4 linked regions of the Diceros bicornis minor genome follow. The main gene of each other region encodes a partner of the protein of the gene in region 3 in a complex. Links are inferred from orthologs where the notes say so. Each region holds a gene or a part of one and is shown on either strand. Other genes may lie near its edges.

What was found.
Region 1: cytochrome c oxidase assembly factor 1 homolog (region 3) and ECSIT share a complex: the UniProt entries of both Homo sapiens proteins name them as parts of the mitochondrial complex. The link is inferred for Diceros bicornis minor from reciprocal best matches to the Homo sapiens genes COA1 and ECSIT.
Region 2: cytochrome c oxidase assembly factor 1 homolog (region 3) and ACAD9 share a complex: the UniProt entries of both Homo sapiens proteins name them as parts of the mitochondrial complex. The link is inferred for Diceros bicornis minor from reciprocal best matches to the Homo sapiens genes COA1 and ACAD9.
Region 4: cytochrome c oxidase assembly factor 1 homolog (region 3) and TMEM126B share a complex: the UniProt entries of both Homo sapiens proteins name them as parts of the mitochondrial complex. The link is inferred for Diceros bicornis minor from reciprocal best matches to the Homo sapiens genes COA1 and TMEM126B.

What each region holds. Positions count from the first base shown.
Region 1 is NC_080769.1:7,999,507-8,007,533, reverse strand, and holds the start of ECSIT (evolutionarily conserved signaling intermediate in Toll pathway, mitochondrial), read right to left. Parts: upstream 3,011-8,027; 5' UTR 2,945-3,010; intron 1-2,944.
Region 2 is NC_080741.1:89,663,492-89,671,519, reverse strand, and holds the start of ACAD9 (complex I assembly factor ACAD9, mitochondrial), read left to right. Parts: upstream 1-4,708; 5' UTR 4,709-4,711; coding exon 4,712-4,906; intron 4,907-8,028. UniProt on the Homo sapiens protein: As part of the MCIA complex, primarily participates in the assembly of the mitochondrial complex I and therefore plays a role in oxidative phosphorylation.
Region 3 is NC_080780.1:901,185-909,043, forward strand, and holds the start of cytochrome c oxidase assembly factor 1 homolog, read right to left. Parts: upstream 3,018-7,859; 5' UTR 2,945-3,017; intron 1-2,944. Other genes in the region: BLVRA (biliverdin reductase A), read left to right, coding at 3,452-3,485. UniProt on the Homo sapiens protein: Component of the MITRAC (mitochondrial translation regulation assembly intermediate of cytochrome c oxidase complex) complex, that regulates cytochrome c oxidase assembly.
Region 4 is NC_080746.1:46,900,926-46,908,673, reverse strand, and holds the start of TMEM126B (complex I assembly factor TMEM126B, mitochondrial), read left to right. Parts: upstream 1-4,657; 5' UTR 4,658-4,679; coding exon 4,680-4,757; intron 4,758-7,500; coding exon 7,501-7,622; intron 7,623-7,748. Other genes in the region: DLG2 (disks large homolog 2), read right to left, coding at 2,676-2,694. UniProt on the Homo sapiens protein: As part of the MCIA complex, involved in the assembly of the mitochondrial complex I. Participates in constructing the membrane arm of complex I.

The sequences.
Region 1 (8,027 bases), on a different chromosome or scaffold from region 3:
ATCTCATTTCTTAGTTCTCATAGCTTTCTATTGGATTCCTTAGGATTTTCTATATACAAGATCATGTCATCTGCAAAAAAAGATAGTTTTACCTTTTCCTTTCCAATCTGCATGCCTTTTATTTCTTTTTCTTGCCCTTGCTGGAACTTCTAGTACAATGTTGAATAAAAGTGGTGAGAGCGGACATCCTTGTCTTGCTCCTGATCTTAGGGGGAAAGCATCCAGTCTTTCATCATTAAGTATGACGTGAGCTGTGGGTTTTTCAAAGATGCCCTTTATCAGGTTGAGGAAATTCCCTTCTATACTGGATGCTGAGTGTTTTTATCAGAAAGGGTACTGGATTTTGTCAAATGCATTTAGTTGCATCTATTGAAATAATCATGTGGTTTTTGTCCTATATTCTATTAACATGGTATATTACATTGACCTTCAGATTTTAAACCAACCTTGCATTCCTGGGCTAAATTCCATTTGGTCACAGTCTATAATCCTTTTTATATGTTGCTAAAATTTGGTTTGCTAGTATTTTGTTGAGGAATTTTGTGGCCATATTCATAAGAGATATTGGTCTGTAGTTTTCTTTTAGTGTCTGTTTGATTTGGTATTAGGGTAACGCAGGCCTCATAAAATCAGTGGAAAGTGTTTGGATCATTCTTATCACCATTTAAACTTTTTCTAGCATCTCCCATCTTGACCTGAAGTCTCCCTCCAGCCTCTGCTCCACATCTCTGTTCTCTTTACAGCAAAGCTTCTCCTGAGAGGTGTCTACACACTATGTTCCTTCCTCACTCTTTCCAACTTGGCTGTAGCCCCAAAACCCCACTGACACCACTTATAAATGCCCCTTGTGTGTTCTACACTCACCAAAGCCAGTGATTACTTCTCAGGCCTCACTTTGCTCAATTTCTCAGAAGCATGTGGCACGAGTGGGGCCCTCCTCCCACCTTCTTGACACTCTTGATTTTCTTCCTAGCACCCGGGCCTGTTTCTCAGCCAATCAGCAGGACCTTCTCCTTCTCTAGAGTTTGCAATGTTTGCAGACATGAACGCACAGATGAATCACCTGGGATCTTGCTAAAATGCAGATTCTGATTCAGCAGGTCTGGGGTGGAGCTAAAGACTCTGCACATCTAACAAGTCTCTGAGTGATGCTGATGCTGCTGGTCTGGAGACCATACTTTGCGTAGTAAGGCTGCAAAGAGTCCCACATACTGGATTGGTCTGTCTGCTTCCCTGAGGTGTCATTCAACTTGTTCCCCTCTTCTCTGTATTCCTGTAGGCAGCTCTAATGGTTCTCAAATTTTGCTCATATTAGAATCATCTGGGGAGCTTTAAGAAATCCCCATGCCCAGGCCATCCCCCAGACACATTAAATCAGAATATCTAGAGGTAGGGCCCAGGCATCAGCATTTTAAAGCACTCCAATGACTGTAATGTGCAGCTAAGAGTAAGACCTTGATCTAAACCTTTGCTACTTAAGTGTGTTCCAGGGACCAGCCACATCAGCAGCAGCATCTGGGAGCTTATAGAAAATGCAAAATCTCAGCCTTAATCCAAACCTACTGATTCAGAAGGTGCATTTTAACAAGAATCCAGGAGTCCAGGTATCTCCTACATGTGCTAACGTCTGACAAGCGATGACGTATGTGCTGATGGCTCCCAAAGGCTTATGGCTGGCTCTGAGCTCCAGCCCCCATACCTCGCTGCCACCCTGGCGTACACCCAGCCGTCTCACACTTAATTTGCTCCAAACTGATATCCCTGCTTAAACTTCTTCCTTCCCATCCTAGCCAATGACACCACCATTCCTAGTCATTCAGGCCACAAACCGAGGAGTTGTTTCTGAGTCCACTATGTCCCTCACTCCCCTATTCAGTTCATCAGCTGGTCCTGGGAACTACTTCCAAATCCATCTCAAACGCATCCATTTCTCTCTATCTGCAGGCCACCACTCCAGTCCATGACCTCTTTCCAGAATACCCACCCAGCCTCCCACTTCTTTCCTTACCTGCCTCCCATCAGTTCTCCCCACCATGGCCAGAGAGAGCTTTTAAAATGTAAACTAAAGTCAGTGTTCTCTGCCTAAAATCACTAATAGTCTATCACACTTAGAAACAGACAGGGTCTACTCCTCCAAACTCAACTCTCATCACTGGCAGCTCCAGCTATACCGTTCCTTAAACAAGCTAAGTTTATTTCAGCCTCAGGGCCTTTGCAGCTGCTTTCCCTCTGTTTGGAAATTTCTTCTCCTAGATCAGTCCATAACTGTCTCTGGTCATTCTGGTCTCTATTCAAACAAGAGGCCTTCCCTGACCACTGCCCCACTCCCACTCTACAGCCCCCATTACCCTGATGAATGCATTTTTAGCAGTTATTAGCATCTGAAATCACCTGTTTCGTTTATTTCTGATTTGTTCAAAGTTTGGCTCCCCCAGGAAATAGGGATTTTTTGTCTGTCTTTCTCATTGCTATGTCTCCAGCACCCGGGACAGTGCCTGGTATATATCAGGTATCTAACAACTATCAGTTGAATGGGAAGAAGAGCTAAATTTCTACAAAACGTCTATAAATCTGAACCCCTAGGCAGGGTGCACCTACAGCAACTCTGGGGCTGGCTGGCAGGATTCCGGGTCCCTGGGGGGAAACAGGTAGACGCGGGTTCGAACTCCCGCCTAGATGCCGACTGGCGGGGTCATCTCTGGAGACAGCCTTAACCTCTCTCAGCCTCAGCTGTCTCATCCGTACAATGGGAAATCAGGGACGTGAGAAGGCGGGTACCCGGAGGGCGGCCTTTCCCAGCACGTCCCCGCCCCACACTCCCAAAGGTCACGGTGCCCTGGCCCTCCAGCCGGGCCCCTCTGGGGCCGCCCTCCCGCCCTGCCGGCCCAGAACGGGCCGCCCCGGGACCCAGCAGTTCGCGCTCGCCTCCCCACGCGCGACCTACCTACTCACGCGGCCGGCCGCGGACTCCGGGCCGGCTCTGTCGTGCTGCTGGGCGCCGCCATTTTGCCCAGAGAGCTTCCGGGTCATGGGCCGCCAGGGAGACAGCAAATCGAGAACGCCAGTTTAGAGAGGGCCCGCCCCAAAGGGAGGAACACCAATAGGAAGGCGGAGAGACCTTGGTCCCGCCTCATAAGGAGCCAGGCCCCGCCCCTAACGAGGCAGGCCGCACCCCCGACCTGGGAATTGAGGAGTACCGCCCGGGAAGGAGTGAGTGGACCGTTCCCGGGCTGGGACGCTGGATTTGGGGGGACCTGTGAATCCAGCTAGCGGCCCCAGTTTTTCCACCTGAAATGGAATGAAATATTAAAGGTGGGAGTGATGTGGATTCCTTCATTTGTTCAACAAACGTTTATTGAGCGCTTACTGTGTGCTAACTGCGCTGAGGATATGGCGCTGACGTCAGTGAAGGAGACAGGCTCTGCTAATCTAGCTCCGTGACTCTGGGCCAGTGCTTAAGCCAAATGTGCCTCGATTGTCCCACCTCTGAAATGGGCAAATTATAATAACTTCATAGGGGTTTTTGAGGTTTAATTAAGTGAATCTATGCAGAACAACCATATAAGTGCTTGCTATTGTTATTATGGGGGATCCTCGCTAACACCTCCCTCCACCTCCCCCACTGGGATGGTATGGCGTCTAGTTTGACGCCTTGGGCCACCCTCACTGAGGGCTGAGGGTCCTGTGAGACACAATTCATGACTGTGTCTTGTGGCCGCGGTGTGTGTGTAACTGCGATGTTGGGGTGACAGAGTTGGGGGTTTTTCATGCGTTTTTGTAGTGTCTCAAAACTCGAGCAAAGGTGTCTAGGTGTATGTGTGGCTGGGTAAGTGCGGGTCAGGGATGGTCCCCGTGTGTGTGTCAGTGTGAGCGAGGCCAGTCTGGGAACTGGTGTGTGCAGGTTCTTGTGTGTCCACGTGTCAGTAGCTACATGGGCACCTGTAATTGTACCAGCTTCTGGGTGTCTGTGATTGTGTGTATGTATGCAGGGGGTGGGTGGAATTTGTCGCACGACTCTGAGGGGCTGGCAGTAGGTGTGTCAACATTTCTGTGATCATTCGCCTGCCGTAATGTGTGTGCGATGGTGTGTCTGAACACCGGTGGTCGATGACTGTGTTTGTGATGCCTCTTGTGTTCTGAACTTGTGGATAAATGATTGTGTCCCACCGTCGAGGCACATGTGACCGTGTGTGACACCCCATATCTGTCTCTCTGCGTGTGATTGTGTCTACCAGCATGTGTCTGTGATGGTAAGAGTCTCTGATTCCCTGTGTGCGGCAGGCCTGTGACCCTCGATAATCCTCTTGCCTCAGGGCGTGGCAACATTGGAGATGGTGCAGCTGGCATCCGGCCCGCCGGCTGCAGGAGCTGGGCAGTCGGGCAGAGGAGGTACCTGGGGCGTGGAAGTGGCCACAGCGCAATGACCATCCCTGCCTGTCCCTATGGCGCCCCGCTCCCATGGTTCAGCCTTCTGATTTCATCTTGCACCAAATGAGCCCCTGGGCGCTCAGCCAGCGGATGTTCCGCAGCCTCTTGCCGCGTGGGAGAGCCTTGGACTCGCGCAAACGCCTCCAATAGGACGCCAAGTACTGCGGGGGCGGGGCCTGAGGGGCGGGGCCACGCGTGGGAGATGGGCGGGGCCTAACTGGCCACTGTTTGCGCTCCAGGAATGTGTCCATTCTCCTCTCCCCGGCCATCAGCGCTCTCGGCCAGTCCAACCTGCTCTCCGCGGAAACAGTCAGCACCAACCTCACTCTGTAAGAGGCAGCTGGGCCCAGGTGGACCTTCTCCACTTCACTCCCACCCCTACCCTGCGCTCCTGTCGGGGTGGGGAGCTGGCAGCATGGGTGTGTGTGGGGGGAGTGGACACTGCTGAGGGTGTCTAGGTGAGGAAGAGACGCCTCCAGGAAGGTTCTCAGAGTGAGCCCCAGGAGGCTGCATTAGCTCGCAGACTTCTGTGCCAACTTGTGTCTGCTCTCAGCCCTTTGCCAATTTGGGATACTTGGGTCTGGGGACCTGTGGGGGCCTTCCTGCTCCTCTCCTGGATCCCTCTCCCCCTCCCTCACCCCTGACCCCCACTCTCCTGTCCACAACTGGTTGCTGAGTACAGTGAGCTGCCCCCGAAACTCGCTAATGACCTTGCTGACTGGTGTGTCCATGGCTGTAGTCTATGTAGCTGGCATCGCTGTAATGAAGTTCTAAAATTTGAGAGGTGTTGACTGGTTATGCTGGACATTCTCAACATCCTGTGGATGTAAATCATCGTGCTGTCCAGGGCCTGAGACAGGGGAACCCTCATGCTCCAGAGCAGAGTGTGGGAAGGGATTGAAGAGATGTGCAAGAGCTTCCCTCAACCGTGCTACAGACTTGGGCCAGGGCCACAGTGGGGGAGGTTGTCCCTGGGAGCCTGAGGCTGTGCCCACCCCACCAGGAGAAGGCTTAGACTCACTCAACAGGTATTTATTGAGTGCCCCCTTTGTACCAGGCACTGTTCAAAGCATTGAGGAACAGGAGTGAGCAAAAAAAGATTCCTGACCGTGGGGAGCTGGCATTCTAGTGGAGGAGATGGACAAAAGACCCATGTTCTATAGAAATATTTTACAACTATTCGTAGCTTGAAAAAAATTAAGTACAACTTCAAAACTGTTTAGGATATGACTTTGTCTATCATCTTGTTAACCTTAATCTATTTTGAACTTGGAACATGTGACCTTTTGAAATGAACAGCATTTTCTTTCTTTTTTTTTTTTTTTTGCTGAGGAAGATTCACCCTGAGCTAACGTCTGTTGCCAGTCTTCCTCTTTTTTATTTTTTATGTGAGCCACTGCCACAGCATGGCCACTGACACTTGAGTGGTGTGGTTCCGTGCCCAGGAACCGAACCCGGGCTGCCGAAGCAGAGCGCACCAAACTTTAACCACTAGGCCATTGGGGCTGGCCCATGAACAGCATTTTTTAATCTCTTTTTGCTTGTGTGTAGAAGTTGATTCTCTGTGTTCTGTGTATTAATTTAGATATTTAGATTTGTCTTCCATCATTCTGTCATCTCAAAGCATCAAAATACATTCATTAATTCAACCAACATTTATATGCATTTTAAAACAAATATGTATTGGGTGCTAGATCCAGAAGGAAATATAAGATTAATTGAAAAAAGAAAAATAAATTTAAGTGCTTAGAATTTGTTTCCAAGAAAGGGCATATGTTCATGAAGTAGAAATGTAGGGCCGGCCCCGTGGCTTGGTGGTTAAGCGCGTGCGCTCGGCTACTGGCGGCCCAGGTTCGGATCCCGGGCGTACACTGACGCGCTGCTCGTCCGGCCTTGCTGAGGCCACGTCCCACATACAGCAACTAGAAGGATGTGCAGCTATGACATACAACTATCTACTGGGGCTTTGGGAAAAAAAAAAAAGAAATGTAAAATGCTACATGTGGTTAACAAAATGGTTGATATTAACCAATAGATTAAGAATTTTTTATTCATTTATTTTTTGTTTATTTATTTATTTTTTTGTGAGGAAGATCAGCCCTGAGCTAACATCCATGCTAATCCTCCTCCTTTTGCTGAGGAAGACCGGCTCTGAGCTAACATCTATTGCCAATCCTCCTCCTTTTTTTTTCCCCATAGCCCCAGTAGATAGTTGTATGTCATAGCTGCACATCCTTCCAGTTGCTGTATGTGGGACGTGGCCTCAGCATGGCCGGAGAAGCGGTGCGTCGGTGCGCGCCCGGGATCCGAACCAGGGCCGCCAGCAGCGGAGCGCGCACACTTAACCCCTAAGCCACGGGGCCGGCCCTAAGAATTTTTTAAAAAGAAATATTTTATAGCTTGAACTGCATGACGATTACGTGGCTATATGTATGTAAAAATTCGTTGAGCTCTCCATTGAGATTTGTGCATTTGAGTAATATCTCAATTTAAAAGTTTTTAAAAGTTATCATGGATTCATTGAGCTATAATTTGTACACTCGTCTATATGTATGATATACTTTAAAAGTCTATTTAAACACTCTGCTTCCATTAGGATGGCCATTATCAACAAAATAGAATCTAACAATTATTAGCGAGGATGTGAAGAAAGTGGAACTCTTGTACATTGCTCGTGGGAATGTAAACTGGTTCAGCCACTGTAGAAAACAGCACGGCATTCCTCAAGAAATTAAAAATGGAGTTACCATATGATTCAGCAATTCCACTTCTGGGTAGATACCCAAGAGAACTGAAATCAGGGACTCGAACAGATAGGTCCACACCATGTTTATAGCAGTTGGATTCACAATAGCCAAAGCAACTGAAGTGTCTGTCGACAGATGAACAGGTAAATAAAATGTGGTATAGACATACAATGGAATATTATGCAGCCTTAAAGAGGAAGGAAATTCTGATACAGCCTACAGCATGGATTGAGGACGTTGTGCTAAATGAAATAAACCAGTCACAAAAAGACAAACACTATATGATTCCACTTACATGAGGTCCCTAGAGGAATCACATTCATAGAGACAGAAAGTAGAATGGTGGGTGCCGGGTGCTGGGGGAGGGGGATGGGGGGTTAGTGTTTAATGGGGACGGAATTTCAGTCTTGGAAAATGAAAAAAGTTCTGAAGACGGATGATGGTGATGGTTACACAGCAACGTGAATGTTCTTAATACCACAGAACTGTACATTTAAAAATGGTGCATTTTATGTTATATATTTCACCACAATATTTTTAAAAGTCTCCTTACAAAGAGATGAGTAATGTAGACAGAAATGAAGCAGAGAAAGGGAGGAGGTGCTAGAGGGGTTTACAGTTTGAAATCAGCTATTCCAGGAAGATCTCACTGAGCAGGTGACCTTTGTGTCAAGGAGGTGAGTGAAGCCTCTGGAAGTTCGGGGAACACTTTGGCACAAGGAGCAACTGCGAAGGCCCTGTGTGGCTAGAGTGGAGTGAATTGAGGGGAATGTGATAAGAGATTAGGTCACAGCGGAAGGCGGGGCTCATGGGCTCCCCCAGAAAGCCCCGGTTTTAGGCTGTTAATAACCT
Region 2 (8,028 bases), on a different chromosome or scaffold from region 3:
GAACAGGATTAATGCGTCTTCTTTGAAAATACATTGCTAGGCAGAAAGACTTGTTAGACGAGTCCAAAATATTCAGACTGACAATTACATGTAAGAAAGAAGGGACAGAAAAGATGTGAAATGAGCGCCCACGTACCACGTGCTGTGCCTGGCACTCCCTGCAATCTTTGCCTGTGGGTAATATCATCCCCAATGAGCTGGCAGAAGTGGAGAGTGAGAGCAAGGCCTCAAGGGGCTTCTGACTTGTATTTGTCAGAGTAATTTGACCATATTTCAGGTAGCCAATGTAACCACAGGACCAGTTTAAACTGACCCCATCTTATCAACACCAGAATGTTAAAGTTGTTTTTCAGGGGCAGCAAGCCAAAACTGCAAGTCACGTAGCTGCAGCACGCGCAGGAGAGAACATTTTGACCTGAAATAACACCTGGAAGCAGAGTCTCCCCGCATGGAACCAAAGGACCACGGGAACTCAAACGCTGGACTCTCTTCAGAGGTGAGGAGTCCATTGTCCAGGAAGATCCAGTGTTAGTCCCTTTCCACACCTTACTGTAAATGTTTAAAGCCCTCCAATCGAAACCTGCCCCACCAGTGCTTCCACATACCAGCCTGTTCCTCTTAACCTCTTAAATTTTGCCCCAAACCCTGGATTGGGGAGACAAATTTGAGAGCCTTGCCTCCTGTCTCCTTGCTGGTTGACCTCGCAATAAAGCCTTTTCTTCTCTCAAAAACCAGTGCCATAGTGTTGGCTTTTCATGCGCATCAGGCCACAGGCCCACTTGCCTGGTAACACCAATAATGGAGAAAAGAAAGGGGACTGGGTGTCTGAGTCTCTATTCACCTAACTCTCGCCTTCTACCCTCAGGAAGGCAGTATAGGGGGATAAGAACACAAGACTCTAGGAGCCAGCTGGCAGGGTCCAGGGCCTGGCTTTGTTATTTAGGGCTGTGTGACCTTTCAGTGCCTGTTTTCTCCTTTGTAAAATGGGCATAAAGTAACAACACCGAATTCACAGGTCTGTTTAGAGGATTAAATGATGTATCACAGGTAAAGTACATGCAACAGTACCTGGCATAGAAAGCACTCATTAAATATTAGCTGCTATTATCACTCTGTTTGAGGACACTGTCTCCAATGACCAGGATAGGGCTCAATAATAACAATGTTGTTGCTTGGGGCTCAGTCTGCCTGATGAATGTGACTGGCCCCTAGTAATGATGACTCTTTATCCTGTACTTTATAGTGTTTTCTTTGAAACTCGGAAAGTATTTTTATTAGTTAACACTGGCTGCTATAACAAATGAACCCCAAAACGTCAGTGGCTTAATACAATACATATTTCTTGCTCATGTAACAGTTTGATGTAGGTGTTCCTATTCTGCTGATGGCTATCCCCCACATGGTTGGTTCAAAGACCTAGGCTCCTTCCATCTTGTACTGCCATCCCCTGCGGCCTACAGTCCTCTGCTGCCAGCTGGTGGAAGATGGGGTGGCCAAGAATGGCCACTCTTTTCTTAAAAACTGGACAAAAGTCACATTATCGCCACTCACATGACGTTAGTGAGAATGTCATCTGGATGTAGGGGGACTGGGCGATGTAGTCCCTGGCTGGCGGCTGCGTTGTGCTGACAACTGCACGCTAAGGAAGTGGGCACAATTTTTTGATTACTAGTTGTCTCTGCCACAGCAGCGCTTCCAAGTCATAGACAATGCAGTAGAGATACTTGTCCAGAATCAGACAGCTAAATGGCAGAATTAGGACTAGATCTCTTATCATGACTCCTAGTTCATAGTCTCTTCCCTACATCTTGCTATTTTTCCTAACTTTGGTACAGGCTGTGTAGTCTAAGGGGCTTTCCCAAAGTATTTAACTGTGCCAGTGTCCTATCACTTAGGAGACTATTGATTCCAGACCATAGCAGGATTACTGGGTGTAAGCATGGGTTCTAAGATATAGCCCCAGTCCTGTAGTCACTATTAGGACCTATTTATTTCTAATACTATGTGCCAAGAATCACAATACCTCATGTATTAGTCTGTTACGGGTGCTGTAACAAAGAACCACAGGCTGGGTGGCTTAAACAATTTATTGTCTCACAGTTGTGGAGGCTAGAGGTCCAAGATCAAGGTGTTGGCAGGGTTGTTTCCTTCTGAGGGCCGTGGGAGAGAATCTGTTCCAGGCCTCTCTCCTAGCTTCTTGTGGTTTGCTGGCAATCTTTGGTGTTCCTTGGCTTGTAGAAGTATTATCTCAATCTCTGCCTTCATCCTCACATGGTGTTCTCCCTACGTGCATATCTATGTCCAAATTTCCCTTTCTTATAAGGGCACCAGTCGTATTGGATTAGAGGTCCACCCTACTCCAGTATGACCTCATCCTAACTTAGCTAATTACATCTGCAACGGAATGCAATAGAAAATCCTATTTCCAAATACGGTCACATGCTGAGGTACTGGGGGTCAGGACTCCAACAAATGAATTTTGTGGGTACACAATTTAACCCATAACACTCCATTACATTTGTGGTTTTCAACAAGCCAGTGACTTCCATGTTTCCATAAGAACTAACGTACCCCAAATGGGAACAAATATACATCAAAAGGAAGTAATAGTAGACAGCATAATTTATTGTATGCAACAAGAGTATTCTCTGAAGGACATCCCTCTACACACAGATGTTTGATCTCTAGACAGTAAGGTGTCAGCCAACTTCTCTCTCAGCAGGAAACAAACTGGTGATAAAATTTATACAACTCATTTGTGAGCCCTTTTATTAGGATTTTGACTGCTGAGACAGGAACCTTGACTAGACTAACTCATTTCTCACACAACTGATTATTGATCTTGTAACCTTTGAACAGGAGACAAATCTAATTCTTTCTTATCTCCAATTCTGTGTAAATTTCTCCATTAGCTTCTGACTTTGCAGCTTTAACACTGAGGGATTTCAGAGTAGTTTTTGAGTCAGACAACCTGCTTGAGACCCAAAGCCAAGCATCCTGGCATACTAACACTAATATTATGGCCACATAAGAGTGTCAGCTTATTTGCTGGGAAGTTATGTATGGGAATAAGATGTATTGATGTGCTCATACAGGAAGGACATTCAGAGATACTCAGTGAGGGTGTTTTAAGCACCGAATACGGGAAATTCTATGTTTACAGCAAATTGTTTAAAAACAGCATCCTATTTCTCAGAGGCAAATACTCAAGTATAAGATGGAAATTATCAGAGTGTAACCATTTTCCATTTTTATTACTATAAAACATTGATCATTCACTGTGCCAGATGCTTACCTAATCTTCACAAGGGTCCTGTGAGATAAATGGTATATACTCATTTTTACAGATGAGGAAACTCAACTAAGAAACTGGCAACGTAGTGGAATTCCAAAATCTTTTTCCACTACAATCTACTAGAATACTTAAAAATTATGATTAAAATTTTTGTTTTGGAAAATATGTGCCACTGACTTTCTCATTTGTTTAATTTAGAGTGACCTCTGTACACTAAGCAGGATCTCACGTATTATCAGATTACTTGATTGACCTGACTACATTTGTTTTTGCAAAAACGTACACCAGTTCGAACTCAAGCCGTTTTTGCAACATCGATTTTGTTTCGCGATTGAGGTTAATTCACAAAGGCAGCTGTTTCCAAATGCCTTCTTGTGAAGCTGAATGCTCGAATTAGGCAAATATTGACCACTGACGAAGAAACCAGGTGACAAGCCTTTTAGACAAAACAGCACACTGCAGAAGATGCTTGTAAATATTCCGCAACCAAGAAAAGTCGTTGAGCTCTTTTCCCCTGATGTTGTGTCATCAAGTCTGCACCCAGACAAGGTAATCTTTCATTGGGCCGGGCTTACCCGCTGAGGGGACTGCGATTTCGTACTCTTCCCCGGTTCACATGACGGAGAAGCCTTTTCCAACACCGTGGTGAAAGCTGTCGTCCGGTACAGCACAGTGCGGCCGGGAGAGGAACCCTTCCCAGAGGGGCGGCCGCCGGACCCTGGAGAGCCCCCGCCCGCCGGCTCAGGGCGTCGCTCGGCGCCGCGGGGGTGCCCAGCCCCCTCCCCGGGCCCTGCGCCTGTCCCCTCCCGCCTCTTCGCGGTTCCTTCGCAGCTTCTCTGCCCCGCCGGCCTTTTCCGTTGGGGTCTCCCAGGGTAGCGGTGACTCACCGAGTTTTAGCCAGGCCTGTCTCTGGCAGAACACCCCTTGTCCTCTCCCCAACCCCATACGTAACATATACATGTGTAGGCTACTAAGCAAAACAAAATGAATCCGCACGCATCCCCCATCCACTTAAAAAACGGAACAGTACTCGTACTCAGCTCCCCTCGAGAAATAACCAACAGCGTCAATTTTCCTCCCATTCCCTTGCTTTAGTTTTTCCTACGTCTTCGTCGCCCCAACTGGTGAGAGGGAAGCAAGTGGAGGCCGCTGGGCCACAGCTTAGGTCCCCGCACCCATGAGAAGCTTCCCCGGACTGGCATGCATAAAAACAATCGCTGGTATTTAAAATAAAAGACCCTCCCGCCGCCACCACCAGCCAGAGCACGAAACCGCCAAGATGGCGCCGGCCTCGCCCCGCCTACCTCCCGGGGAGGGAGACTGCGCAAGCGCAATGGCGGCCGGCGGGGTGGCGCAGGCCAGTGGCGTCATCCGGTGGCCGAGCTAGATGCACGTGACTGAGGCGCGGAGAAGAAGATGGCGGCAGCAGTGACGGCGGTGTGGGCGGCTGCGGGCAGCATGAGTGGCTGCGGGCTTTTCATGCGCAGGGGGGTGGCGGCGACACGTGCGTGCCGGGCTGTGGTGGCCTTCACCGCGAGCCGTCGCCCGTTGCGCACCAGTCCGCTGAGCCGAGCTTTCGCCAAGGAGCTCTTTCTGGGCAAAATTGAGAAGGTAACCCCGAGCGAGAGCCGACCCTTGCTGTCTGCCCCCTCTTGGCCCTTAGCAGGAACGACTGGAGTCAGTCTTTGTCAGAGTTCCCACACCTGCGTGACCACTATACCTGAGGGGCGGGGTATGCTAAAACTCCAGACTTTTTTTTTTCCTGGAGCAAGACGGGCCCTGAGCTAACGTCTGTTGCCAATCCTCCTCTTTTTGCTGAGGAAGGCTGGCCCTGAGCTAACATCCATGTCCATCTTCCTCTGCTTTTTATGGGACCCCACCACAGCATGGCTTGACAAGCGGTGCGTGGGTGCGCGCCTAGGATTCGAACCGCGAACCCCAGGCTGCCGCAGCAGAGAGTGCACACTTAACTGCTGTGGCACTGGGCTGGCCCCTAAAACTCCAGACTCTTGAGCCCCACTAGAACCTTCCCCGGGCAGGGGGTCCTGAAGAAACCATGGTTTTGACAAGTGTTCCGGCTAATTCTTGTCAGGCCAATTTAGGAAACCCTAGGCGTGGCAATGCAGCCCTGAACTCAGTGTCCTGGCGCCGGAATGTACGGGCGTCCTCTCTGATTCCTAAACACAGTTCAGCCCGTGCGTCTCCTCTGTCAGCCTCCCGTAGCCCTTGGGCGTCCACAGCTTGGTCCCTGTGCCTCACCTTGCCATTAAGTTTCTTTAGAAGTCTGGCTCTGAGGTGCCTTCCTCACCTCATCCCTTCCATGGTTGGTACAGCCCGGTAGTAACCCAGCTGTTATCCAACAGGGACAGTTTAGTTATTAAGCACTCATTATCCTCTTGTTTGTGGAAGACTTGGATTTGAGCTGGACTCTGTGACTGAGCCTCAGATCTTTCAGCTTTAAAATGACATGGTTTGCCTCACAGATGTGTTGGAAAGCCCCAATGAGATATATAGTCCGTGGAAATGCATTTTAACCTGTAAGGTACTGTGCAGATGCAAGAGGCGGCAGAGTAGGTAGTTAATGTGGCTTCAACACACTTACTAGTCTCGTACCCTTGGGCTAGTCACTTCACCTTCCTGTGCCTCAGTGTGCTAATCTACAAAATAATAAGAGCAATACTTGCCCCTTCCTAAAGGTGTGGTGCAAACCAAGGAGAAATTTGTGTAAAGTGCTTTGAACTTGGCTGAGATGTTGGCTGATACTCTTATTACTTAAGGAGTTATTCGGTGGTTTCTCTTTAGAGTGTTTCTCTAATCTGTCAGGCGTTACAGGCGCAGAAGCTGAAACTGACTAAGTGATTTGCCCTGCTAGGAAGTGCAAAGCCAAGTTTTAACGTTTGGGAAACCAGTTTTCCCAGAACCTGGGGCTGTGTGGTGCTCTATCTTGGCACTTCGTGCCTCCCAGCACATTGGTGAAGAAAGAACACAGATCTTTCATGCTTTTGTTTCTCCACGCTTCTTTCCCCATCCTCATTCTCACCTGTCAACTTTGCCTCCTACTTCACTGAAAAAATATATGCAGTCAGCTGAGAACTTCCACCACATTTACCCCCTCCTTTCTGCACATATGTGCATAGGGTCTACATTCTATTACTATGGATGAACTCTACTCCCAGCAAAGGCCCACCTTGTCCCTAGACCATATGCGTTGTCACCTCCTCACGGGCATGCCTCCAGTAATTCCCTCCTTTCTCATCTACATCATCAGTGGTTCCCTCTCTGCTGCATCTTGAAACCATACCATTCAGGCTTTTGTCCTTAACGGTCTGCTAAAACTGCTTTCATGAAAGTCAGTTGTGATCTCCATGTTGTCAAGTCTAGTGGTCTGTTCTCATTCCATATCCTACTTGACCCATCACTGGTGTTTGACACAGTTCATCACTCCTGGCTTCTAAAAAACCCTTCTCTCCTGGTTTTTTTCTTTACTTCGTTGGCTGAGCCTTCTCGATCTCCTTCGCTGGTTCCTTCTTGGCTCCTTAACCTGTAGACATTGGCCAGTGTCTCCTACTAGCGTAGTCCGATTTGGAGTTTTATAAGGCTCAATCTGTAGACTTCTCTTTTCATCTACACCCCTTCCTTTGATCTAATTTAGTACTGTGGCTTTAAATACCATCAATATCCTGATGGCTCAAATTTATTTCTCCAGCTCAGATTTCTCCCCTGAACTCCAGACTCTTGATATCTACCTTTCTACTCAAAAGCTCCACTTAGATGTCTAATAGGCATCTCAAATTTAGCATATCTAAAACTGAGTTCCTGGTCTCCCCACCCAATCTTCTTCCCACTAGTCTTCTTTATGGTAGATGGTGGTGACTCTGTTGTTCTACTTGTTCAGGCCAAACACTTGCAGTCACCTTTGTTGCCTCTTATTCTCATAATTCACTTTTTTTTTTGTGAGGAAGATCAGCCCTGAGCTAACATCCGTGCTAATCCTCCTCTTTTTGCTGAGAAAGACCAACTCTGAGCTAACATCTATTGCCAATCCTCCTCCTTTTTTTTCCCCAAAGCCCCAGTAGCTAGTTGTATGTCATAGTTGCTCATAATCCACTTCTAATCCGACCGTAAATCCTGTTTTCTCTACCTTCAGGTTATATTTAGAATCTGACTACTTTTAAGCACCTCTACCCTAGAGCTCTGATTTAGGCCAACATCATCTCTCACAGCATTACTGAGGTTTGAGCAGGAATGTCGTGTCTGAGATGCTTAGAATTTTAGAATAGAAAGACCCCTTCAAGATCATCTGGGCTAGAAGCTGTCACTCTGCCCTCAGTTGGACCCTTGCTGTTCATGGAAGTTCCCCTGGAGTTACTGCAGGGACCACGGGGGAGTTGAGTGGGAGGCATTTGGGTGACCTCCCCATCCGCAGCCTCAACCAGATCAGCTTCGCTTTTATCTGTTTTACATACTTGGTTTCTGCACTAGATTTATTTAAAAAAACAGGTTCCACTGCTTTAAAAAATTTAAAAACTGCTGGTAGAAATTGAACCCAGCACCCGTGAGGCACCACGTTTGGTTTTTGTACATTGCTATCAGAGATGCATTCTTACATGCACTTGAGACCTCTCTCCCTATAGCAGTTATCTTTTGGTGGTAGTTGAAGGCCACCTAGTTACCAGGCTGTTCTGTTTTCTCATCTGGCATGCTCACTGGTACCAGAATAATCTTCCTCCAAC
Region 3 (7,859 bases):
AAAATGTTTCTCAAAATGTTCAGAGATCCTAAAAATATCTCAATTACCACTACATTTAAACCAATGAAATGAGAAAAACAAATATCAAAATAATAGGATTTTATAAAACTAGTATTCCCAGCATGCCCCAATCAATATAGAACCAGCATAGTTATAGTCAAGTTCTGCACAGAAAAAAATCTTCTAATAAACTTCTGCCAGCATGAAATAAGCACCTACTATTCGATGACCACTGTCCAACATGGTTCACACAAACCTAATGCAGTATATTAAACATAAATAAGGGAATAACTTCTAGGAGTCTATTTGAAACAGAAAATTAAATGAACCAACAAAGCTGAAGCAGGTTACACATATTTTTCAAGGCAGAGAGATAGGGAGGCACCAGTGTCTGAAACAATGAACACTATAAAGTTAAATACGGTACCAGGGACTCAGACATCACACAACCAGGGAACTACTATGTCAGTTTCTATAAGTCCTGCAATTTGAGAATAATATCCCAAACTACCACCCAGAAGCCTCTTAAAGGAAAAGATTGTGAGTCCTGTCTACACAAAAATGTAAAACATTAGCATAGCAAAAGATATAAAACAAAGTTAACAGGCAAATAGACTGAAAATATCTGCCACATATCTAACAGTCAGTGGGTTAACATCTCTACCACAGAACTCCTACAAATCAATAAGGAAAAGACAAAACTCAATAGGGAATAGATTATAAACTATTTCCCCCTGCTTTGTTTTTCAAATCTTAAAATGCTGCTCACAGCTTCTTCACAGCATTTTTTCCGGGGCCTGGTCCTCCACTCATTGAAGTTGTTATTCAACTCACTCTCTGAACTACCCCCACAGAGCTATAACATGGTCTCCAGGAAGACTAAAAATTAACCTTATGTGCTCTTCATTTAAAGGAACTATAGCATAATCTACAAGACCAACATATATCTGATAAGAGACTTGTATCTAGAATATATAAAGAACACTTACAATTCAACAATGAAAAGACAACCTAACTTAAAAATCAGCAAAGGATATGAATAGACGTTTCTCCAAAGACGATAAACAAATGGCTCACAGCACATGAAAACATGCTCAACATCATTAGCTATCAGAGAAATGCAAATCAAAACCACAATGAGATATACTTCACACCCACTAGGATGGGTGGAATTAAAAAAACAGATAATGACAAGTGTTGGCGAGGATGTGAAGAAATCAGAACCGTCATAGACTGCTGATGGGAATATAAAATGGTGCAGCCGCTTTAGAAAACAGTCTGGCAGTTCCTCAAAACGTTAAACATAAGAGTTACCATATGACTCAGCAATTCTACTCTTAAGTATACACCCAAGAGAAATGAAAACATGCTGTTCACACAAAAACTTGTACATGAATGTTCATAGCAGCATTATGACAGCCAAAACAACTCCAATGTCCATCAGCTGACCAATGGATAAATAAATAGTGGTATATCCACACAATGAAATATCACCTAGCAAAAAAAAAGGAATGTACCGATACTACAACATGAATAAACATAAATGTTAAGTGAAAGAAAACAATCAAAAAAAACCACATACCCTATCATTTCATTTATATGGATTGTCCAGAATATGCAAATATATAGACAGTAGATTAGTACAGTAGTTGCACAGGGCTAGGAGTAGGGTTGAGTAGACGGGAAATCAGAAGAGACTGCTAATGGGTACAGGGTTTTCTTTTTGGGGTGACGAAAATGTTTTGAAATTGATTGTGGTGATGGCTATACAACTTCGTAAGTGTACTAAAAATCAATATATTTTAAATGAGTAAATTCTATGGTATGCGAACTACACCTCAATTAAGCTATTTTTTAAAAGGACTGTAGATTGTGACTTTTTTTCCCGTTATATCCCCAGCTCCTAAAACACTGCCTAGCAATATCAGGAATTCAATAAATTCTGACTAAATGGAAAAATAAATTTCAAAATGTGAGCAAACCATTATAAAACCTCGTCATATTCAAAGTCATGAAATTACTGCAGGTTGGCAAGGCGGGAGCATACAGTACGTATCTATAACCGTGTTTTTCATAAAAGGAGATGAGACTGAAAAACTCAGTAGAAGCAAGACCTTGAAGGGTCTTGATGCCAGGCTAAGAAATTCGTATTATCCTGAATCAACGGGAGGACCAATAAGACTTTGAGAAGAATAACACAATCAGATCTGTGTTTTAAATGTGCAAAGTGTAAGTGGTGTTGCTATTCTGTCCAAAGCTGAAGTAGAGCAATAGCCCTCAGGTGAGAACGGGGAGGAGCTGGGGGAAGAAATGAGAAGCAAATGTCAAAATGTAAGAATCTTTATGGGTTTCTTAAATCACACAGCACACCGCGCGCGCGCGCGCGCGCGCACGCACACACACACACACACACACACACACACACACGCCCCGTCACCCACACTGAAAATCACTTGTATGGTCAGCCTCTGTATGGAGCTCAAGTTCGATGGGGACAAAAACTATTATGACCACTGCGCCAGAAAATTCTCTCGCACAGTCATCTGGGCAGGGTCCTCCTCAGAGAGTCGTGATTCAGGACTACCAACAGAGCGCCACTGTCGCCTCTCCGGGAGGACCCCGACTCTTCACAAACGGGCTCTTGGCACGCCCAGGAAGGACCGCAGGGCGAGGCGACGGTCAGCTGCGCACGGCCTCACAGCTCCAAGGGGACGGGCGCCTTGCAGCGTCTCAAGGCGCGGAGCCCACCACGGGCCCCCAGGCGCCATCCACGCAGCCCAGGGAGGTCGCGAGCCGCCGGGAGGTGACCCCTGAGGGGGCTGCCCTTGCAGCAGCCCGCCCGCCGCGCAAACGCGGCCGCCCGGACTGCGGGAACCAGCGCTTCTGGCGGTAGGAGAGGCGCGCACCCCTCTCGCGCATCCCAGGCCGAGGGGCGAAGGCTGACCTGTCAGGGACACAGGCACCACGCGGCAGGAAGCAGACGGGCTCCTTCCGGATGTGGGCAGTGGGTGGGCAGAGCCGCGGGTGGGCGCGCCCCGCGGGGAGCAGTCGAGACTTCCGGCGTCGCCGCCTCGCGGGGCTAGAGCGTCGGGATGGCTGGCGCCCGAAGGCCCGCGAGCGGCTGGGCGCGGGCTGGGACGGCCTGGGCTGTGTGGCTTAGCTTCCTAGACGCTCGGATTTGCGTCGGGAACGGGTTCGTCTCCTCAGATCCCCGCTTTTTGTTTTATACGTCCCGTTAGCCCCCAACACACATATGCAGTCCGGGAGCGCTGGCCGAGGAAGTTTAAAGCCCTGGTTCCTATTGCTCCCCGCAGAGATCTGACGCTTCGGCTCTCCCGCGAGGACGCGAAGCCACGGGGATCTGAGCCCCACGCTGGCGGTGAAATCCACCTTGCCCTATTCGGCTGAGAAATTTGGCAACGCTCAATTTTCTTTTATTCACCAAATATTTATGAAATGCCTACTGTGCTCCAGGGAATGCAAGGGTAAGAAAAAACTAATGGTCTCTGTTTTCATGGAGTTTAGTAGTAAAATAGATAATGATAGAATCCTACAATGGATAATGATAGTACCTCATAGATTTCTTGTGAGGGTGTAAAGCACTTAGAATCGTCTGGCACTTTGTAAGTGCTCAATAAGCGTTAGCTGTTATTTTCATCTTGACCGTTCCATTGCCATCATCACCACTGTTTTCATCATCATTTACATTTTCAATGTGAAGCTTAGAGTCCAAGTACCTTTCTTCCACAAAGCAATGAGTCTCACGATTGATGGGTCACCTAAATGTGATGTGTTCATACACATCATAACCATAACTCCAGGGTGATGGAGTTATGGTTACCGCATAACCATAGCCAGACTATTCAAGTTTAGTCTAAGGCTGTGGTCTTCAAACTCTTGATCACACCTCCCTATCAGAAATAAAATTAGATTATATACGCGTACTATGTATGGTATTGATATATATTATGCATACTATAAAATTTTCACAAGAAATAGAACTTTAGAAAGGTGAAATAAAAATATTAATAGAAGTTCTGTTTTCTGCCCATGCAACAAATAGGTTGCCATACATACATGCCATCACTTTGGAGTCCACTGGCTAAAAGAGCACATTATCAAAGAGGCCTGTCATTAAATTATGGATCCCCAGAATAGTTCTTTTATGAAGAATTAATAGAAACTAATCAGATTTTAAGGTGCTTGAACTATAAGGACTATTTGAATGGTTCCTTACATCAGAGGAAATGAAGAAATAAAATAGGCATCCATTGATTAATCTTCATTGATCTGACATTGATTATTGACTTCTTAAAACCCAAAGAGATTAAGATTGCAATGTCTGGGGCCAGCCCAGTGGCGCAAGCGGTTAAGTGCGCGCACTCCGCTGCGGCGTCCCAGGGTTCACCGGTTCGGATCCCGAGCATGCACCAATGCACTGCTTGGCAAGCCATGCTTTGGTGGCATCCCATATAAAGTAGGGGAAGATGGGCACGGATGTTAGCCGAGGGCCAGTCTTCCTCAGCAAAAAAAGAGGAGGATTGGCAGATGTTAGCACAGGGCTAATATCTTCCTCACAAAAAAAAAAGATTGCAATGTCTTACACCAAGCTTGAGATTTCATATAATAAATCAAGTAACAAAAACCTTATGAGGTTTTGTATATGTGTATTTTATACAGTATTTGTGAAAATGAACCCTGGATCACTTAGCTCCTATACCATACCAGAAAGAGAAACATGATTACTTTGTAAAAAGAAAGCATAAAATAGGCTTTTCTGACCATTTGCTTGAAAACTCAGAATTTACCTTTCTATCACTGGACTTACATCTACTAAAGTTTTGATCTAAATTTTAATATGGTTTAATAGTTTATAGTTAATGTTGGTATGTATCTGATATTTATTCTCCTCTTACTCCTTTGTTACGAAACCCACATCTTGTTCAGATAGCCACCCTATTCCCAGCACTATAAAATGATACTGATTAAATCTAAACCAATCACCATACAGAATTCCTCTAGGAATAGTTGTTGGTCAAGGGATGAGCAAGTGCCTCAAGTTAGCTCAATCAAAGCTGATGCTGAGGACAGCTGAACAAAGTGATAGAAATATTATTCCAAGCCTGGAGCTCACCCTCTTTATGAACTTCTTGTAGGGATATCTGATGTTTCCTTCTTGTTTTCTGATAGAGATAGTGTGAAGATTAAATGAGTTAAAATAGTGCTGGTAATGTTTTAAACGTTCAAAATGTTAGTTATTATTGTTAAGTCAGCTTGAGACAAGGATTCTGTTTCTTATAGTCAAAAGTATCCTATCTGATTCATACCTCTCTCTCTTTTCTTTTTATTTATTTATTTATTTTTTTGTGTGTGAGGAAGATCAGCCCTGAGCTAACATCCGTGCTAATCCTCCTCTTTTTGCTGAGGAAGACCGGCTCTGAGCTAACATCTATTGCCAATCCGCCTCCTTTTTTTCTTCCCCAAAGCCCCAGTAGATAGTTGTGTGTCATAGTTGCACATCCTTCTAGTTGCTGTATGTGGGATGCGGCCTCAGCATGGCTGGACAAGCAGTGCATCGGTGCATGCCCGGGATCTGAACCTGGGCCACCAGTAGCGTAGCGTGCACACTTAACCGCTAAGCCACGGGGCTGGCCCTGTCTCTCTCTTTTTTATATATTTAAGGAAAGAATCTGTTTCACTACCTCTTAACTTCTAAGGAGCCAGGGCAGGGGTAGGAGGTGGAAAGAGGAGGAGTGTTGGCTATAATGCTGTCTATGAGGGGTACTGTTAAGTGGTGAGATGGCCACTTTGAGAAATGCACTCAACAATGGCAGGATCCAATACAGCATATCCAGTATTTCAGCAGCAGCCTGGAACTATCAAATCTGAATGGAGTTACTACACATGGTAGTTGTTTATATACGTGGACATATCATTTTCTGCATATTAATATTTTACTCTGCTACCTTACTAAGTTACCTTATTGTTTGGAGTTGATTCTTTTATATTTTCTAGGATTGCAATCATATCATTGAAATAGTGATAGTTTTACCTAATCCTTCCAAATTTTATACAGTCATACATCGCTTACTGACAGGTATACATTCTGAGTGTACTTACACAAACCTAGATGGTATAGCCTACTACACACCTAGGCTATATGGTACTAACCTTACAGGACCCCCATCATATATGCAGTCCGTCGTTGACCGCGAAACCTCATTATGTGTTGCATGATGTTGGGGAAGAGGGAGAATGCCTCCCCACCCTTTCCTTTAAGGTTCTTATGGCTGGCCAAATAATTAAAAATGCAGGCTAGCAGGAGAAAATCAAACAAAGTTTAAGAACATGTATACATGGGAGAAACTCAGAAAATAGAAACTGAGCAACTCGTGCTTCTGACTAAGCTGCTCACTTAAGTATTTTCAGCTAAAGGCAGGGAGGTTGTTGGGGGTAGTGGTTTGGGATTTCAGAGGGGAAGAAGACAATTCACATGGAGATGGAAATGCAAATGTTTGTCAGGCAGATCTTTACAGGGCCACCTATAGAGAATGTGGCTGGAGAGACAGAATTTTTGATAAGATGGGCTTGTTGGTGCCTTTCTTATCGCATTTATTTTACATTATATACTACAGCCATCATATGGTAGTGGCTCCTTCCTGTAACAGGCATTCTACATTAAATTCTTTAGGCAGTTTGGGAGGGGAAGCTCAAATGTTCTCCTGCATCTTCTGAGCCTTTATTGTCTTATTATGTCGAAATAATCCACATACCAGAGTGGCACATCTTCGGGCGGCTTGCCCTGAACACCATCAATGACTGTACTTCTAATTTCTCATATCTAATTGCATTGGATAGTATTTCCAGCAAAAAATATTTAATAATAGTGAAGACAGTGGGCTTCCTTGTCTTATTCCTACCTTTAATGGGATATCTCTAGAATTTTCCCATTTAGCATGCTGCTAGTTTAGGGGACTGAGGTAGATATCTATTATCATGTTAAGGAAGTATCCAGCTATTGAGAGAATAGGGAAAAATTTGACACAGAGGCTTTGAGAAAACAAAGCATTGAGCATGCCATTGCATCTTGTCATAAAACTAAATGTAAATTAGACAATATTTGCCTCAAAGACACTAATAAAATTAACATTAACTAAGTGGGATGAATGTTCTTTCTTACTTATCTTACGTACTATCATCATGAAATTGAGTCCTGACTAGTTCGTTTACAAGAAATTCCCTTGTGATATCCTGATTTTTAACCCTGGAAAAGTTTTTTGTTATCTCTTATAAAATGTCACCTTTAATCCAAAGTCTATGCTTGTTCTACATGTTTGTTACAGGAAATTGCATGGATCTACTGTAGTTTTATAGGAAATTGTAACAGTTCAAATATGCTGGTTGTAGAAAATAGGGACAGTTATAATGATAAGGAGGTTACGTCATCACGAAGATATAAAAATCCCAAAAAGGAGAGAAGTTAGAGAGGAAGAAGACCAAATTCTGTGTATGAATTGCCCATATTTCTGGCTGACACCTGAAACACACACATGTGGAGCAGACTTTTGAGCTATCTGAGGCTCAAAAACTGAAGAGAGACATCAGCTGCTGCCCACCACAGGTGAGACTGGCAGAATGAAAAGAGAAATAGACAAATCCACAGTTATAGTTGGATCTGTCAACACTTCTCTCAGAAATTAGCAGAAGTTCTAGATAAAAATTTAGTAAAGGGCTGGCCCCATGGCTTAGTGGTTTAGTGCGCGCGCTCTGCGGCTGGCAGCCCGGGTTTGTATCCCAGGCGCGCACTGTCGCACTGCTTCTCCGGCCATGCTGAGGCTGCGTCCCACATAACATCAACT
Region 4 (7,748 bases), on a different chromosome or scaffold from region 3:
AATGAGGATCATGACTGTCTAGCTACTCCATCATATCTACCACATGTAACAATGAAGAAAGAAAAAAGATTCAAGGGCCGGTCCTGTGGCTTAGCGGTTAAGTGCTCACACTCCGCTGCTGGCGGCCGGGGTTCAGATCCCGGGCGCACACCGACACACCGCTTCTCCGGCCATGCTGAGGCCGCGTCCCACATACAGCAACTAGAAGGATGTGCGACTATGACGTACAACTATCTACTGGGGCTTTGGGGGGAAAAAAATAAATAAATAAAATCTTTAAAAAGAAAAAAGATTCGGGGCCGGCCCGGTGGCGCAAGCGGTTAAGTGCGCGCGATCCGCTGCGGCGGCCCGGGGTTCGCTGGTTCGGATCCCGGGCGTGCACCGACGCACTGCTTGGTAAGCCATGCTGTGGCGGCGTCCCATATAAAGTGGAGGAAGATGGGCACGGATGTTAGCCCAGGGCCGTCTTCCTCAGCAAAAAAAGAGGAGGATTGGCGGATGTTAGCTCAGGGCTGATCTCCTCACAAAAAAAAAAAAAAAAAAAAAGAAAAAAGATTCAAGATGACAGAGGACAGTGCAGAATAAATCTAGGTTATACTTTAAAATATTTGTTTTACTTATATTTTAGAAACAGTATAGATAGTAAGCTTAACCAGTTAAAAATATAATGCACAGGTCATAACTTGTTTGGCTAGTTGTCTATAATATTCAAAAATATATATCTTAATACTAATAGTTTTAAGCTATTAAAAAAAGATAAACTACTTCTCTAGGTAAATTACATAATGCATATATCTTAGTATAATCCACATATATACATGTTTTGCTAATTAGAACTGATTGATTCCTTAAAAAATTTGATCCATTACTATCAAACCATTGTCAAAGAAGAAAGAAAGAAGAGGAGGGAGGGAAGAGGAGAGGAAAGAGAGGGAGGGAAAAAGGAAGGGAGGGAGAGAGAAAGGAAGAAAGGAAAGAAGGAAGAGAGGGAGGGGGAAGGAAGGAAATAAATATCAAATTATTTCTCATAAAGTAAGATTTTCAATAACGTATCAGCAATTTTCCTTTAAAGGTAGGAACTTTTAATAAACTCAGTCTATTGGGTTTAGAAACCTTAAGTTCACTCTGCTTAGTTAAGTTATACCTAGAACATCAATTGCCCTTCCTCCTCCTCCTTCCCAGATACCTTTTTATGCCTTTCTCTGTCTCTCCCCCTCCCTCTCTCCTTTCTCTCTCCCCCTCTTCTCTTCTTTCTCTCTCTCTTTCTCTCACACATACACACACACACAGACATAAAGCGTTTAATTCAATTAGTAGTCTAAAATAAAGTAGTCCAAAAGGGACACTGTGTACAGAACAATAAATGGTAGACAGAGTAAAAACACACAGCAAGCTAAATAAGTCAAAGAGCCATATCTTTTATTTGCTACATTCCCAAAACCACTCTTGTTCCAGATAAACCAATTGTGTCAGGTCTGGACAGGTGTGGCTCCAAAATCTCATAGTTTACTTCTCTCAGTGATATTATGGGGGAGAGCAGAAGGAAACAATCCCAGTCTTAAATCCCAGTGTATAAAGGGACAGTTCTAGGTGTTTCAAAAGTTTTATATATCATTGCTCATCTCTACAGATACCAGTTGGGATAAAGCATCTCACTGATTATAAGTTTCTTCAATGCACCTTTCAAATCCACAGGTAGAAGGATTAAACATCATGCAGAACCAGGTTGCACTTTAACCTTCACCCTGGGCTTTAGTCTCAGACTGCAGCAACTCATATAACTAGTCAACATTTGGATCTATGCTAGCCCAGTACAGTAGAGTTCAAAGGTGTTCATATAAATTTTGGTTCAAAACTCTCAAGAAAACTCTTTATAGTTGATCTGATCTTCCATACAACGTCAAAAAAACCAAACCTGTTTCACTAGGATCCTTAAGAACAAAGTTCACCTTGGTAGATCTAGGCTAAAGTGAATCCTCAAGATCTGACCTATAATAAACTATACCTCAGGAACCCACTGGATTTTGATCAATTCGGGGTGGGGGGGTGGGTTGGGCGCAGAGTGTCAGGTGTTTGCTTCATTTTGGGAACTTGCCAATCATGTTATTGGATAATGCATGCATCTGAAAAGCACAACAGTTACCAAAGTTGTGCTTTTTCACAAAAGTGAAGATTTACACTAGTGTAAACCCAAATACTAAATCTATTTTTTAATCAAAAGATAAATAATAAGTCTATAATTTTTTTCAGTGCAAACAACTTTACTATCTTTTACAACTATGTAATTTGCTTGATAAATATTAAATCCATGAGGAAGAACTCTACTGTACAAGTTTTTTAAAGATTCTTTAAAGTAACCTTTAACAAGCTAAGAAAACAAGCTAAAGAAAAATCAAAACCTGTGGTATCAAATCTACGCTGATTATAAATGGTGATTTAGACAACCTGATTTATGAAATCACAAATGTCTGTAATTAAATACTATAGTCCTACTTCATTTCACTTTAGCAAAATAATATTACTGAATGATGTATCACTGAAAAGACATTATTACAGTAAATATTTCCCCAAACTCAAACAAAATTTTACTCTCAAATGGAATACAATTTAAATTGCGAATACCAGAATGAAGAACATGAAGAAACATATACTATACAGGAAGCCTCATAGCCCACCTTTCTTTTTGACTGGCATTCTTGGGTCTTTGCACTGCCACAGGATTCAAGATCTCTTTTCAGGTCTCAACTTGATCCAGCTGGATTGAGGCCAAGAGCCAGGTAACTGTTGCAAATTACTTTACTGTTCAGTTTTGAAATCCAGGCTGTCTTCTCTTTCACATAAAGAAAAAAAGACGTATATTTTCCACAGTTAAACTTTTGACACTGCCCACACAGTTTAGAGAAAAATAACTTTTGAGTTTTTCAATTTTTATAAAATATTTGTTCTATTTAAAAAAAAAGCTGAGAAAATTATTGTAAGCATAGAAAACGTTATTAAAACTCCCCTTCAGGCAGCAACATTTTTGGAGTTCAGTGACTAACTCAATTAAGGCACAAACCAAATTTACACAGCTGTCTCATTACTCTATATATGATCAAATTCAAAGATGAACCGCTTGACGATAAAGATTCTCAATTCTTTAGAGAAAATTTTAAACCCCCTCCAAAAAAAAAATACTTAAAAAATCTCTTTGACTCTGGTCTCTAAAAAGGTGGGTGAGTTTGAACAGTTTTCTGGGGCAGAACAGAGACTGAAAGGCCCCTTTCTATTTACTGGACCATAAGTTCCGGATCATCCCCTCAGTAAGACAGAATCCAGCTTGCTGTCACTTCCATTTTTTTCTTCTGTGCTCTCCAAGCCCCTCAGGCTTTATCCTTAAAGCCCCTCTGATTCTGATCCTCCCATGTATTAACCGAGAGGATTGAAAAGAGGAAAGCAATCCCTTGGCATGGAGACATTAAAGTGACAGTGCTACTCAATGGGCACTTGATGCAGGATGAGTTGGCGAAGTAGATTTCTTCACACTGGAGTCATTCACATCATGCCATCTCTTCGCATCCAAGCAGCTCCCTATCCGGCGAGGAAAAACACTGAGACTGTTCGCGAGGAGAAGTCAAACCTTCCCCCAAAGGTGTTTTCTGAGACGCTGTAGTAGTATTAGGCATGTAAGCATAAGCTGTGCAAACGGTTCGCGATTTCCTAAACGAGAGAGTTCGGCTGCTTGGCTTCCACATCCACCCTTTTTCTCAATCTCTCTCCAAACTACCCACCTTCCTTTTGCGGAAAAGACACGAAATCTCTCTGCCACCGCTGGCCACCCCTGCCCACACCCCGCTCTTATACAGAAGAGCAGTGAAATGTCCTGCACCCTCCACGCGACGAAGTGTTTCCTCAGGCAGGAGGAACAGCAGCACTAGAAATTATATAACTCTCGAATTTGGCTTCTCTAAGACATGGAGACTGGAGGGTCGGGGGTTGCTGGTCTGGGAGATACTGCTGGGCAATGAACGTGCACAAAAGGGCGCCAGGCCTCCTCGCAGCGTCCCCCACCCCGAAACACCGGCTGGCAAGGAGGTCTTCTCGGAGAGTGGGGGGCAAACTTCTCTCCAGTCCCTTTCCAAGCAGGGTGAAAGGGTGGAATGTGAGAGGACTCAAGACTGGGGAGAGGAGTCAGGCGGCTGCGAGGGGAGGAGGCTAGTCGGGGCTGTGCTGACGGCCGGCTGGGGGCTCTGGGGAGGAGGTGTCCGAGAAGCTGGAGTCTTAACACACGGACCAGGCCAGAGGGGCCAGCTCCCTCGAGGAGCGAAAGGGGCAGGCAGCTCGGCCGCAGCCAACGGAGGTGCCCTGAGGGGAGGACAGCGCGAAGCAACACCCCCACGCTCGGAACGCCCCACATTCCCCTCAGGGTGGGAGAAGAGCGAGCTAGGCGAACAAACAGCAAGGGAAGGGAACGCAGGGCTGGCGAGGAGGGGCGGGCCCACGGGCGACTGGACCTCCTCGAAGCCAATGAGCGGCAGTAATTTCAGGACGCCGAGCCCAATCACAGCCAGGATGGAGGGCGCGGCTTTTGACTGGGTCGGGGCGGGCCCCGGCTGCAGGAGAGACGCGTGAGCCGGCACCACTTCCCACCCTGGGCGTTCTGGGTTCCCGCCCACCCGCAAGTCACGTGAGCCGCCAAAATGGCGGCGCTGGGGCGTGAGGCTGGGGCTGACCTGAGGGACGCAGGTGTGCAGGTGGGAGCTGGGGGAGCGCCCAAGGTAGGCAAAAACCGGGAGTTCTGTGGGCAGTGATTTCTGCAGCCTCAAAGTGTTGGCAGACTCTTCTGAAATGAGGCATGTAAAAGGGATTTGAAAATCTAAAGAGACCAGCTCCCACATCCATGCAGGTCGTACTTAATTTAGTCCTCAGTTGCTATGGAAAGAGGCAAAGAGAAAGTAGGAGACCTCAAATCTAGTCCTGGTAGCTTGCAGCTTGTTTTCTCTTGCCTCCGAGCGTCTGCACTGGCCTTTGCTTCAACTTGAAATACCTCCCTGCACCTGTGCCTCCCCACCCCACCTCCGCCAAATTCTCCTCTTTCGGATATTCGTTTAAATGTCCCCTCCTCCAGAAAACCTTCCCACACTTCCCCTGGCTAGGTTATGTTTGGCTTTTCTTATGTTTTTTGTTTTGTTTTGATGGCACACTCATCCTGCGTTTAAATTGCCTGCCTTTCTAGTCCTGACTTCCGGCTGGGTTGTGGGTTCGTGAGGATCTTGATTATGGGTGCGGGGGTGGGGGCTGTGGGAGGGGCTGTCAAATACCATGTGCTCCGTAAATGATGAGTGAATGTCGAATAAAATTCTGAAAGTCAAGTGAAATAATATGAATAAAAGCACTACAAAACCGTAAAATGCTTTGTAAACTATAAACCTACATAAATGCACTCTTACTGGTACAATCGTGGTGACCAGTTGAGTGGCCTTAGACTAGTTAATTTTTAGATAAAATGTTGGTTATAGCAAAATCTTTACATTTCAGTACTTGTTAACAATCTATCAGAAAGTGACCAGTTACTTTCTCTGCTTTATTAACAATGCTTTGCAAAGACTAGGCACTCGATAAATATTTGCTGTCGTGTTTCAGTATTTTGAGATCATAATCCTGAGTGTCTGTGTTCCCTAGATACTGAGGCTGTAGACAAGGTAGGAGGTTGGTACAAGGCATTGCCTGAAAGTTTTCTTTGTGGGGAGTAAGGGACTTCAATGAATGGGATGATTGCAAAACAAAAATTTGTCCAAGGTTTCTGGTTATCATGTTACTGACATCTGCCTTCGTGGTACGTTAGATAGATTAGATATAGAATCTCCCTTAGATATTACTATCACTTCTCTTCCATTTTCCATTTAAATGTCAGAGAGAGAAAAAAGATTAAACCTAGTCCCTGAGAAATTGTAATTTGTAACATTTTTTTTTTTCCTGTCCTCCTCAGATATGTTAGGGAAAGAGAACTGGCTTGAGTACAGTTCTACAATGTTGCAGGGGAAGAAACTGGTCCATTATTATTCATAATGTAATACCATATGAAGTTTCAAAGGAACTCATACCTTTAGGATGTTGATGCCATGGATGAATTGGCCTTTTGTTAGTTAGGATTAGGATTGGTACATATCACTTATTTAGCAAATGAGTATTACAGTGATGTTCACCATGGGTCCATTGACTGCCAGCATCAGAATCACTTGGTGTTACTAAAATGTAGATTTCTAGGCTTCACCCTACTCCTCTTGAATACACATATCTCAGGAGGGAGCTGAAGAGACTGCATTTCAAATAAACTCCCCATGTGATTCTTGTGCACACTAAAGGTTGAGAATCACTGATTTATTAAGTATCTTCTCGGTTTATTTTGCTTACTCTACTCTATTCTCTTGCCCAAGACTTCTGAAATTTGAGATTTAATCCATGCCCTTAACTATAAAGGTTGTTAAAATGGAGACTGGTATAAAATGTGAAGGGCCAGAGATTTTGTTATTCGTTCATTGGCTAATCTGGAATCCCATTGATGGCAGCATAGTAAAAGATTTAACAAATGTTATTTTTAAGACTTTTCACAGAGATCTGAGAATCTTACCCAGAGCAAAAGATTCAGAAAAGATCCTTTCTGAGGATCCAGGTTTTTTTTTTTTTTTTTTTACCACTGGTTTCTGGTAAGAAGCTACTAGCCAAACCCTTATGGTCCCTTGACATTGGCAACTGTCTGTTCATACATCACACTTGGGACACAGGAACCTTCCAACCCTGGAGCCCAGTGCCATGTGTCCAGGCTCCGTGGTATACCAAATAGCAATTTCCAGCAAAGGCCCTGCTTCTGCCCAAGGTGCTGCTAGAGAGCTGGATATATAACTTATATGATCCAAAGTAGCCATGATCCACTATGTCTTCCTGGCCTGGAAGAGTGTCCCTCCTTCTGGTGTTCTCTCTTGCTGTTCTCTAAGGCAATCCCCGCTCTCTCCTGCCGTTCCAGGAAACTCAACATAATCTCCAAAATGAGCTCAGGCTTTCATGAGACAGAGGATAGAGATAGTTGTCAACAAGTAGCTACTGTTTCCTTCCAGCTCTGAAAAAGCTACAGCAAGGAGAACTAAAACAAAGGGCCTGGGTACCTTCAGGGAAAACTGTAAGGAAAACAAAAACTCAGTATTTCAATAAGTTATCCTTCTACACTAAGTCCTAAGGCAAGTCACCCTTTCTGAGCCTCATTTTTCTCATCTATAAAAGTAGAGATGATCATTATCCTACTAGTTTCTCAAAGTTATTGTGTGAATCAAAAAGCGATTGTCTAGCAGATCGTAAGAGCTCACTAAATGTTGACTGAATCATTAACAAAGTGTGTGAAAGCAGATGACAGTTACCTGACACATTACTGGGGTCTAAATGTTTTTTAATCTGAATCTGTAGAATTTTTAAGATTTAATATTAATATCGTTAGCTATTATGGTTCTGGAATTTTGTGTTTTCCAGGACATCAGGATGGCAACATACACACATGGTCAGCCCAGTCCTTCTCTAGGAGATGCAAAACTCAGAAGACCAATGGTCATCGAAATCATAGAAAAAAAATTTGAATATCTTAGAAAAGAAAAGTAAGAGACACCCCCAGACTGAAAGTCAATAACTTTTATTTGCAGATCTTCTGTATTGCCATTGTTTCTGAGTATCTAAGATCCTATTAACTTTATTGAGTTGTTTATGAAGAAAGCTTTTAAAAG